Kluyveromyces lactis: one gene and its partners. The protein of the gene in region 3 interacts with the protein of the main gene of each other region in a pairwise test. Links are inferred from orthologs where the notes say so. Each region holds a gene or a part of one and is shown on either strand. Other genes may lie near its edges. The genes, in order: MUM2, KAR4 and IME4.

Region 1 (2,748 bases), about 870 kb from region 3:
TCCCCATTCAAAGCTACAGGAATTTGCGAAGGGGAAGAAGTCGAAGAAGAAGAGGAATCAGATTCCTTCCAATTCAACGAATTGTTCCTAGGACAATTAGAACAGATGGGATTCTCTCGCAATGCTACCAAAAGAGCATTATTTGAAACGGGAAACTCTGACCCTAATGCAGCCACGGAATGGTTGTTCCAGCATATGGAGGACCCTAACTTAAACGAGGCCTTTGATCCTCATGCTTCATCCTCAGCGAAAAATCGTGTCGATTCAGAAGCACTAAACAGTATGACTGCTATGGGGCTTGATTCGAAACTATGCCGCAAAGCTTTGATATTGAAGAATGGTGACGTCAATGCCAGTGTAGAATGGGTTTTCTCCCATATGGATGACGACGGGGAGTTACCTGAAGCTGAGGAATGGAAGGATCAATCCAGAAAAAGTTTTGGAATCCCAGCATCGTCAATTGCCTCTGCTAAGTATAAACTGACTGCTGTCATATGCCATAAAGGTAATTCAGTTCACAGTGGCCATTACGTTGCATTTATTAAGAAAGTGGTCGAAGGAAAAGAACAATGGGTTCTCTACAACGATGAAAAAATTCTCTTGGCCAACGATGAACCAAATTTCGAGGACATAGAAAAGAATGGCTACATGTTTTTCTTCAACCTTGAAGAATAAGAGGCATCTCCTCTCTAAATAAAAGAGACATGCATCACAACATGAAACTCTAAAAAAATAGGACTTGCCCACCTTCCTATCTGCATTGGGTATTCAACGATATGGTTGTGTGTCCATATATACATATATATCCTCGTACATGACTCAATTCAATACAGTATGGTGGGCTTATTCCTATTTATAGCGGTTCCTGTCTGGAGGCAGTTGTGTCCAGCCATTGCAAGTCACGTGAATATGCTTCATGATTCCCTGAAAATGAAACATGTCAGATCTGCCCTTAAAAATAAAGCAAACTAGATCAATTATTTACCAGTGACAGAACACTTGTTACCAAGTAAGTAGTCACACAATCTTCCAAAAACGATCAACAAACCATAAGTTATTTTAAAACCATGAATTCAAACGGATATATGTCTTACGTAAGTTTTTGCATACATTGGAGGATTGCCTACATGACACATTTTTAATCAATACTGTTTCTGTCTGTCCCTGTTTTCTATGAAACATGGAACAACCAAATTGAGACTATAAATGTTTCTAACTCATAATTAACCTTTTACTAACAGGTCAATGTTATCGTGTAGCAACCTGAATATAACCAACAGAGTTTGGATAACTCTTTCGCCAATCTGAATTTTGGTAGTTCTGACGAGTCCAAATTGTATGGCACAACCGCCAATGTCATGAACTCCAGCATGGCACATGGAGGTAGCTTCAGCTTACATGGGAACATTGATGGTATGGGCTCCCACTATAACCAAGGACTTCAGGGCCATTTGAGCGGATCTTCTACTCATAGGAGCAGCATGTCATCATATTGGGAACAGCCGCTCATAGAACAACATAATTCGCCCGAGATAGAGTCCTCGAGAGGCATTTCGTCAAACACGCATCCTGGAAGCTCTTCAAATAACACGGTAATAATGGACAGATCATCATATGCTAAAAGCTCAGGATTCAATACCACTTTCGACTCTGAAACAGAGCCATCATCAGACAACTTCAAACTTGAACTACAGTTGAAAGAGACACAGATAGAATCGTTAGAAATAGAGATAAAAAAATTGAAGGAGGTATTCAATCAGGGTTTGACTTTCAAGCAGCAAGAAGAGCAGAAAATGAAGAAATCAAAGGCTCTTACTTTCGATTCTGAAATCCAGATACCGGCATCCCTGGAAATAATATTTTGTAAGTTATCAGATTCATTAAAGAGAAAGGACCAAGAATTACAAGAAACAAAAAGACGACTAGAAGGAATAGTTACAGCGGTTGCGCTTAACCCTTCAAATTCTACTACAAAGTTTGGTAGATATGACGAAGAAGCTTTAGCACATAAAATGGTAACTCGATTGGAAACTTTAATGAAGGAAAACGAAGAAATGGCAAAAATGCTTAGTTATGGTCGAGTGAAGGAGACAAGTATCGAGCTCGAACTTTTACGTAAAGAAAACCAAGAACTCAAAGAAAGACTAAGGATTCTACAGCAAGAAAAGTAACACCAAAGTATAAGATCTTGATCCTTCTTTTTCTGATATTTTTGCTTTTTTCTGCCAATGACATTCTAGTTGGACGTTTTATTTGACGATCTAAAAACTTTCGAGAGTAATTCAAGATACATGTATGCTATATAACATCTACCTAGATTAGGTATACTTTGCTGACACACAAAAATGTAAATGAACCATTGATATTTATTTCATCCGACGTTAGAAACTTACGATTAGAGAAACTTGAACATACAAAGTGTAGACCTTTATGTGAAGTAATTTTAGTTGATTAAATAAACTGTATGCGGACTTGTCCTTGTAATATGTACATGAGGAGGCTCGGAAAATAAATATTGGTTGGCCGTTTATTCTTCCAGTTACCTGAGTTTGGCTATCTTTTCAAGAAGTGATTGTGTGTTTAAGAAGATTATGAGGTATTACAAAAACGATGCGGGAAAAGTGATTGTTATTCAAGCCTTTGAAAGAGCTCTTCTGTTTTTAACACCCTTTGCCAATAATCTTAGAACATCTTCAGTTGTTTCCCAACCGATACAGGCATCGGTGATAGAACATCCGTAAATCAACT
Region 2 (3,013 bases), on a different chromosome or scaffold from region 3:
CTGACGCTTCTACACCGTTAGATTTTGTCGTTTCAAAATTAGAAGCTACTGGATTTGAGGTCGTTTCGATTGATAATATCGGTGTTGATTACTCCGCAACTTTATGGAGATGGTACAGAAACTGGATTGGCCATAAGGACGATGTTGTCAACAAGTATGGGATGAGATGGTACAGAATCTGGGAATTTTTCCTAGCATACTCCACTATTATTTCCAGACAGGGCTCTGCCACCTGTTTCCAAATTGTCTTGAGAAAGAATTTGAACGCTTACCATAGAATTAACTATGTACCAAAACAAAAAGGTTTATTGACTCCAATCAAGGAAGGTGTTGAACAATGGTTCAAATGAATAAAATGCCTTTAACTGATGTTTTTATTCATTCAAAATAACCGGCCGATTTTGGGAATGGAGATTGTATTGATAATGACCACAGTGACTAGACATAAAACACATGACACATATCGTATGCCTCGTTCAAATCAAGACCTTAGCCCTTCTGAATGCAAATTAGAAATTACAAGCTTATATATACCATCAATTTTTAATAGATATTGGAGATTTTGGTCTTAATGACTCTATGGAGGGATCTTTTGGCAGGTTCGATCCAACTCTTCCAACCTCATTTTTATATTCCATAGCGTTGAAGTTGTCTAGCAGTACATCTGGACCCATGATAACCCAACCAGGTCTCATCCGGATTGGTGTTTCACTTCCTGTTCTGGCGGGAACGATATGAAGTCTCCTTGTAGCGGTGCTAAAATTCTCTGCTACCTTGTACAATTGATTCGGAATTGCCCCAACTTTACTATTTTTTGATTCGATTGCTAAATCGGTATCAATGTTGCAATGTATGAGATGGCCATCCGTGGCTCTTCTTACTGTTCCTGTGATACACATCCAACAATGCCATTGCATCTTTTCAAAAAGTGACTCGTCGTCTGCTTCTAATCCGGGGTAAAATGGTGAATTCTTGTTGACAGGGACGAAAACCAACTCCTCACTTCTGCGAAACTTTTTTGCCCATATTTCGTTGTTCAAAAGTCTTGAAAGCTCATTGATCTTCTGTGCACTTCCCCATACAAATAAAAACCCTGGCTTTGATATCAATTTATGTATCGGTAACTGAGTTAAAAGGGGATAGATAAATTGATTATCAGTCAAGCAACCAATCATGACAACATCGAAAGTTAAACCATCTTTTTGTACCCAATCATTTAATGTGGGAACTATTTCATCAAGCTCTACCTTGCAACCAAATGGTTTTGTATTAAACTGCATTACCTGCCTTTCCTTCAGGCTAAATAGCCTCTGCAACTTCGGATATCCATCAACAGTATTCTCAATGTTTCTTACGTGGGTTTGGGGAAGCGATCCAGTATGTATATAGTTATTTGAATGATCATTCGTGTGAAACTCATTTGCAGGCCTAAGTGTGACATGTTCTCTCGCTACGCTCTTACTCGAATTCCCCTTTTTCTGATATATTTCCTCTAAAACCGCCGACATTTCAGCAGCCAGTTATAGTTTTATCCTGAGAAAAGTACTAGAAATAAGTGTATACTTGAAACAAAAGTGCTTTCCATATGAGTATAAATACTACTGTGTGAAATTGGGTTTTAGCAGATGATGCCTTGTACTAGCACTAGAAATGTGTCTTTTAATTGTTACTCATAAGAATATTTTGCCGCCGTTTATAAAGGATTTTCATTCTTGACATATGTTCGCGTTTTCCGTTAGAATGAAAGTTTCAATCTGAAACTATCAGTGACAAAAAGAAGCGTCAAAACAAAAAAAGAAAAAAATTATTTTCTTCGCTGTCGCAGGTTTATGTCAAGCCTTTTGGTTCAACAGACACTAGGAATAACAGCAGATTTGAATTTCCTGTCACAAAATGTTTGGTTTGGGTTTGACCTGTGTTTTGAATTACAGCATTTGATATTTCCTGTTCGAGAACGTATTATCTTCAAAAATATAGAGCATGCACACGATACACGCAGTCGATAGTGAGATTGGCATGTTATATAGTATCTCTTCTGGGGAAAAAGATCTATCTAAAAAGTCTAATGATCTTTTAGAAAACGTTGGACGGTACACTGAAAACTTAGTCATAGATTTGAATGTACTTCGAGAAATCCAAGTTATCAATGATACTATTCTAAAATCAGAAGCTTTTTTGGAAGCAGTAGTTGTGCAGAACGGTGGTGAAAACCCTGTGTTCCAGTATTTGCATGATATCGAAACAAAAAGCAAGGGTCCTTTTGACCCAGAAAGCAGATCAATTATGCAAGAGATAGTTTATAAAACTGTTTCGAGTAGGTTTGAGTTCAACAAGATATGGTTACCAAAATTTTTCCTGAAAGTACCAAAGTCATTCAGTGCAGGTGTAATTTTGCAAGAACAATTTTTGGTAAGTTTATGGGATACATTAGATGATGATATGTTTTTGACATTTGTGAACGTTTGCTGTTCGATGCTTCGAGAAGTTAGCGATCATGAAATGATAGCACTATTGCGATTAATTACAGAATATAATACCACCAGAGATCTCAAAGAGGTATTCGCTGTGATATTTCAAGTTTTTTCAGATACCACTGAGATTGTTGGGAAAATAATCCAGGATTTGGATGGGACATTATATCATAGAACATTGACTTTTATTGGATACTTAATATCAGGTGATAGCAGATTTATAACACTTTTGTTTTTAGAACAATGCGACGCCATTGTGCCAAAGATGGAAAACATACTTCTTCTTCAGGAGCTATTAATTGATTTGAATATTTCCGCAGTTCCTTTGCCTAACCACCTGAGGTCATTGAAATTGAGTTCTATGTGGTATACTTTTAGTGAAAACTCACTTTTTTGGGCAGTCTTTCAGCGTTTAAATTCTGACTTTAATAAAGCGGCAAAAGAATTGGCTTATCAATTAGTAGTGAGGATTTTTGAATATAGCGGTGGAAGAATTGTAGCTTTGTGGAATGATGATCTTCAAACTGTAATTCCACGGTCAG
Region 3 (3,642 bases):
AACCTATCTCATCCAAATCACCTGTACCTGGAAAGAATTCGCCGTTATACTTATGGAATGAAACAGTGAACACACGGTCAGTAGTGTAAAACGCTTCCTGTACACCGTCACCATGGTGCAAATCTATATCGATGTATAACACTCTCGGGTGATACCGCAGTAGATTTACTATGGCTAACACGATATCGTTAACGTAACAGAAACCAGATGGATTGTTCTTTTTCGCATGATGTAGACCACCAGACCAATTGATAGCTATTTCACTCTGACCATTAAGTAGCTTTCTAGAAGCATCTAACGATGCCCCAGCATATAAGGCAGCATAATCAAACATTCCTTGGAAGATAGGACAATCGTCACCAATGTTGAATTTCTCGAGTGACCCTCGAGGAAGTTTATTCAATGTATCTGGTGTTACCTTCGCTAAGAAATTGACATAGTCCTCAGAATGAAATTTTGTTAACTCATCCTTTGTTGCTGACCTCGTCTCATATAAGTCCATCACTTTGTGTAACCCGTATGCCGAAACCAAATGGTCGGTAAGCATAAGCCTAAAAGGTTTCATTGGATGCTTGACACCGTAATGATATTGTGATACCTTCGAATTGAAGTGGTACGAGACTCTGGGACTATAGGAAGTCCCAAAATCACAATCAAACAATGGCTTCTCAGCTTCCGTTTTCTCATCAAATTTAAGTGTATCCGATGACATCTTATGAAAAGGATTCCGCTACCACTTACCCGTAATGAATAACTGCCACTCAGCCAGAATTGATACTTGGTAGCTACAATCTGCAAAGAGTTGGGTATTGGCTCGGTCGATTGTCTATTCGACCTTTCCGTACTTTATTTATGTGTTGTTCTGTTATTACTGTATTTTCAAATTCCATGTTTTTTTATTCCAAGTGGATCAGAACCATAAACTCCGTACATCACATGAACCAATCACGTGATAACAACGTATCAAGATGAAGGATGTACCCCACAATTCTAAAGAGAGATCAGCATCGTTGCAGATTCACGTATAATACACTGGTAAAGCCCTTCACTTTCCTGCCAGTTTGGAGCCTGTGTATTCCCCTGTTCACAACGAATTCCTACCTAGATCAAACTCGGATTTGAAAATAAAAAATCCCAGCTTCATCACGAAATACACCATCTTTTTAAGACAGAACCATTGTTAAACGTGGATGGAACTGAGAGGAAAAGCCGGCAATTTATATATAGTTTCATGACATTGTAGGCACAGAAAGTTTGTGAAAGTTGTGGTGATCGAAAAAAATATACGGATTTGTTATATCTTGTCTGGAGCCAGAGATATTGACGTCGGCGGTTGTTTTTTTATTGAGTGGAGTAACAAGGTGAAACGAAACTGAATATAGCTGCGTCTCGAAAGAAATTGTCCGAGCAGTGAAAGGAGTGAAACTGGTATTATGTCTTTGAATTGGGGGTTAGTTGATTTTATGTTGGACAACTATGCGTCCATCACTGCATCCCCGATCAATGGTAGCTTACACGACATTTATGTCATTTATTCCATGTTCATGCAAAATTTCCTATGGAAGAATAACGAATGTGGTGAGACGTATTACCAGTTTTGTGAAGATTTGAATAAAATTTCAGAAGTATGTGGTGGTTGCATGAATTTTGAAGATGATAGTGGCGGGAATATTTTTGGCCAAAAGATTTCATTTGTTGATGGGGACTCCTTGAAAATATTGCAAAAAGTTCATTATGACCAAGCTATTAAATTGTCATTATCACATACTGGCAATAAAGCCAAGCAGATTGCGATCGATAAAGATTCTGTTCAGGTTAAAGAAAGAAAAATTGAAAGCGAACCCATATTATTAAATAAGTTGATGGGCATTTTGGACCAGAGTGAAATTGTAACCCCTAATGCTAAGTGTCTAAGACACTTAAATCAAATCCTCTCGTTAGAACTCGGATCCACTAAGTTATCTAAAGAACAGGCAAAATTAAACACTAAGCGATCACCTTTCATACCAATATGCTCAGATCCGAAACATGTGTCACTACTATCCACCGTCATCAATACTGTTAACAACAAAATCATGTCTTTGCAAGGTGAAAAATTAAAGAAGATTGAAGCTGATTGTCCGGATATTATCGAATGTTCGAACACGCACATTCATTTCATACCAAATTTAAAGCCACAGACGGATCTTTCGTTGGGAGATTGTTCGTATTTGGATACTTGTCACAAGTTAAGTACCTGCAGATACGTCCACTATCTGCAATATTATCCTGAATCTCTCCAAAAACAGAAAATTGAAGAACAAAAAGAGCAACGCAAGCAGTATTCGTTCTATACGCATGGAGAGTGCTGTTCTTCATCGTTTAAGAAGCTTCTTCCTCCACAATGGATCAAATGTGACGTCAGAAAGTTTGACTTCGATATTCTTGGTAAATTTTCAGCCGTTATTGCAGATCCCGCATGGAACATTCATATGAATTTGCCCTACGGTACTTGCAATGATAATGAGTTACTGCAACTACCATTTGATCTCTTGCAGGAAGAAGGTTTATTGTTCTTGTGGGTAACCGGCCGTGCTATCGAAGTAGGGAAAGAATCATTGCAGAATTGGGGTTACGAAGTAATAAATGAAATATCTTGGATCAAGACAAACCAATTAGGAAGAACAATTGTGACAGGTAGAACTGGCCATTGGTTGAACCACAGTAAAGAGCATTTACTCGTCGGGGTCAAAGGCAATCCGGAATGGCTAAACAGAAAAATAGACATTGACTTGATCATTAGCGCAACTAGAGAAACCAGTAGAAAGCCGGACGAATTGTATGGAATCATTGAAAGACTTGTCGGTACACATGCCCGTAAACTTGAAATTTTCGGTAGGGACCATAACATCCGTCCTGGATGGTTCACGATAGGAAATCAAGTGACAGGCTCATCTATCCATGAAGTGGATGTGAAAAGGAAATACGAAAGATTCATGGAAAAATCAAAGAATTCAAAGACAAACTAAAGATGTAATACTCTCTTTACTTCAAATGTCCTAGCTTTTATTTGTCGATACACAGTATCCATTAGGAGTCTGTATGTGTTCCTTCTTACTTTTCTTCTTTTTTTTAATTTATGTCATACGCCCTTGTAATTACAAACGTTACATTACCCACAAGTTCGTGCTACACTTAAGCAGCAATAGGCAATCTTTTGATTTCCATAACCATGGCTGATCCTACGGGCGTTCTATTAGCCAACGCGCTTGTTTTTTGAATTCAATGCAACAAGCTCTCAGCTTAATCTAGCATTCTATATATTAGGAACGGTGTTTCTGTCCACTACACCAACCCCAGCCGGCAAGTCCCTGCAGCAGCTACTAGAATGACATGCGATGGCTCAGGTTTGCTAAAAACCCAAAATCAATTACCGCCAGGCCGTGAAACAAATATTGTTACCCGGACTTGAATTCCTGAACGTCAATATTACACTGTTTGTCAATATGTATAAAGAGATGCAACAGAAACAGAAAATAAAGTAGGAAGTACTTCTGAATCTGTTGCCAGTGTGAACGGTATCGTATGAGCTACTTGTGGGTTTGTAGTCCCGGCGAGACAGCAACACCATTTAAACAAGGAATAGGAACCTTTTATGCTCAG

The links.
Region 1: the proteins of IME4 (region 3) and MUM2 interact in a two-hybrid assay, tested with the Saccharomyces cerevisiae proteins (2 studies listed by BioGRID). The link is inferred for Kluyveromyces lactis from reciprocal best matches to the Saccharomyces cerevisiae genes IME4 and MUM2.
Region 2: the proteins of IME4 (region 3) and KAR4 interact in a two-hybrid assay, tested with the Saccharomyces cerevisiae proteins (2 studies listed by BioGRID). The link is inferred for Kluyveromyces lactis from reciprocal best matches to the Saccharomyces cerevisiae genes IME4 and KAR4.

The regions. Positions count from the first base shown.
Region 1 is NC_006042.1:1,720,376-1,723,123, forward strand, and holds MUM2 (Mum2p), read left to right. Parts: upstream 1-1,358; coding exon 1,359-2,171; downstream 2,172-2,748. Other genes in the region: ubiquitin-specific protease UBP14, read left to right, coding at 1-675; 3-deoxy-7-phosphoheptulonate synthase ARO3, read right to left, coding at 2,633-2,748.
Region 2 is NC_006039.1:48,007-51,019, reverse strand, and holds KAR4 (Kar4p), read right to left. Parts: upstream 1,509-3,013; coding exon 537-1,508; downstream 1-536. Other genes in the region: KLLA0_C00715g (uncharacterized protein), read left to right, coding at 1-350; KLLA0_C00671g (uncharacterized protein), read left to right, coding at 1,981-3,013. UniProt on the Saccharomyces cerevisiae protein: Component of the MIS complex, a complex that mediates N6-methyladenosine (m6A) methylation of meiotic mRNAs and is required for initiation of meiosis, progression through the meiotic divisions and sporulation.
Region 3 is NC_006042.1:845,537-849,178, reverse strand, and holds IME4 (mRNA (N6-adenosine)-methyltransferase), read left to right. Parts: upstream 1-1,433; coding exon 1,434-3,008; downstream 3,009-3,642. Other genes in the region: histone deacetylase HOS2, read right to left, coding at 1-712.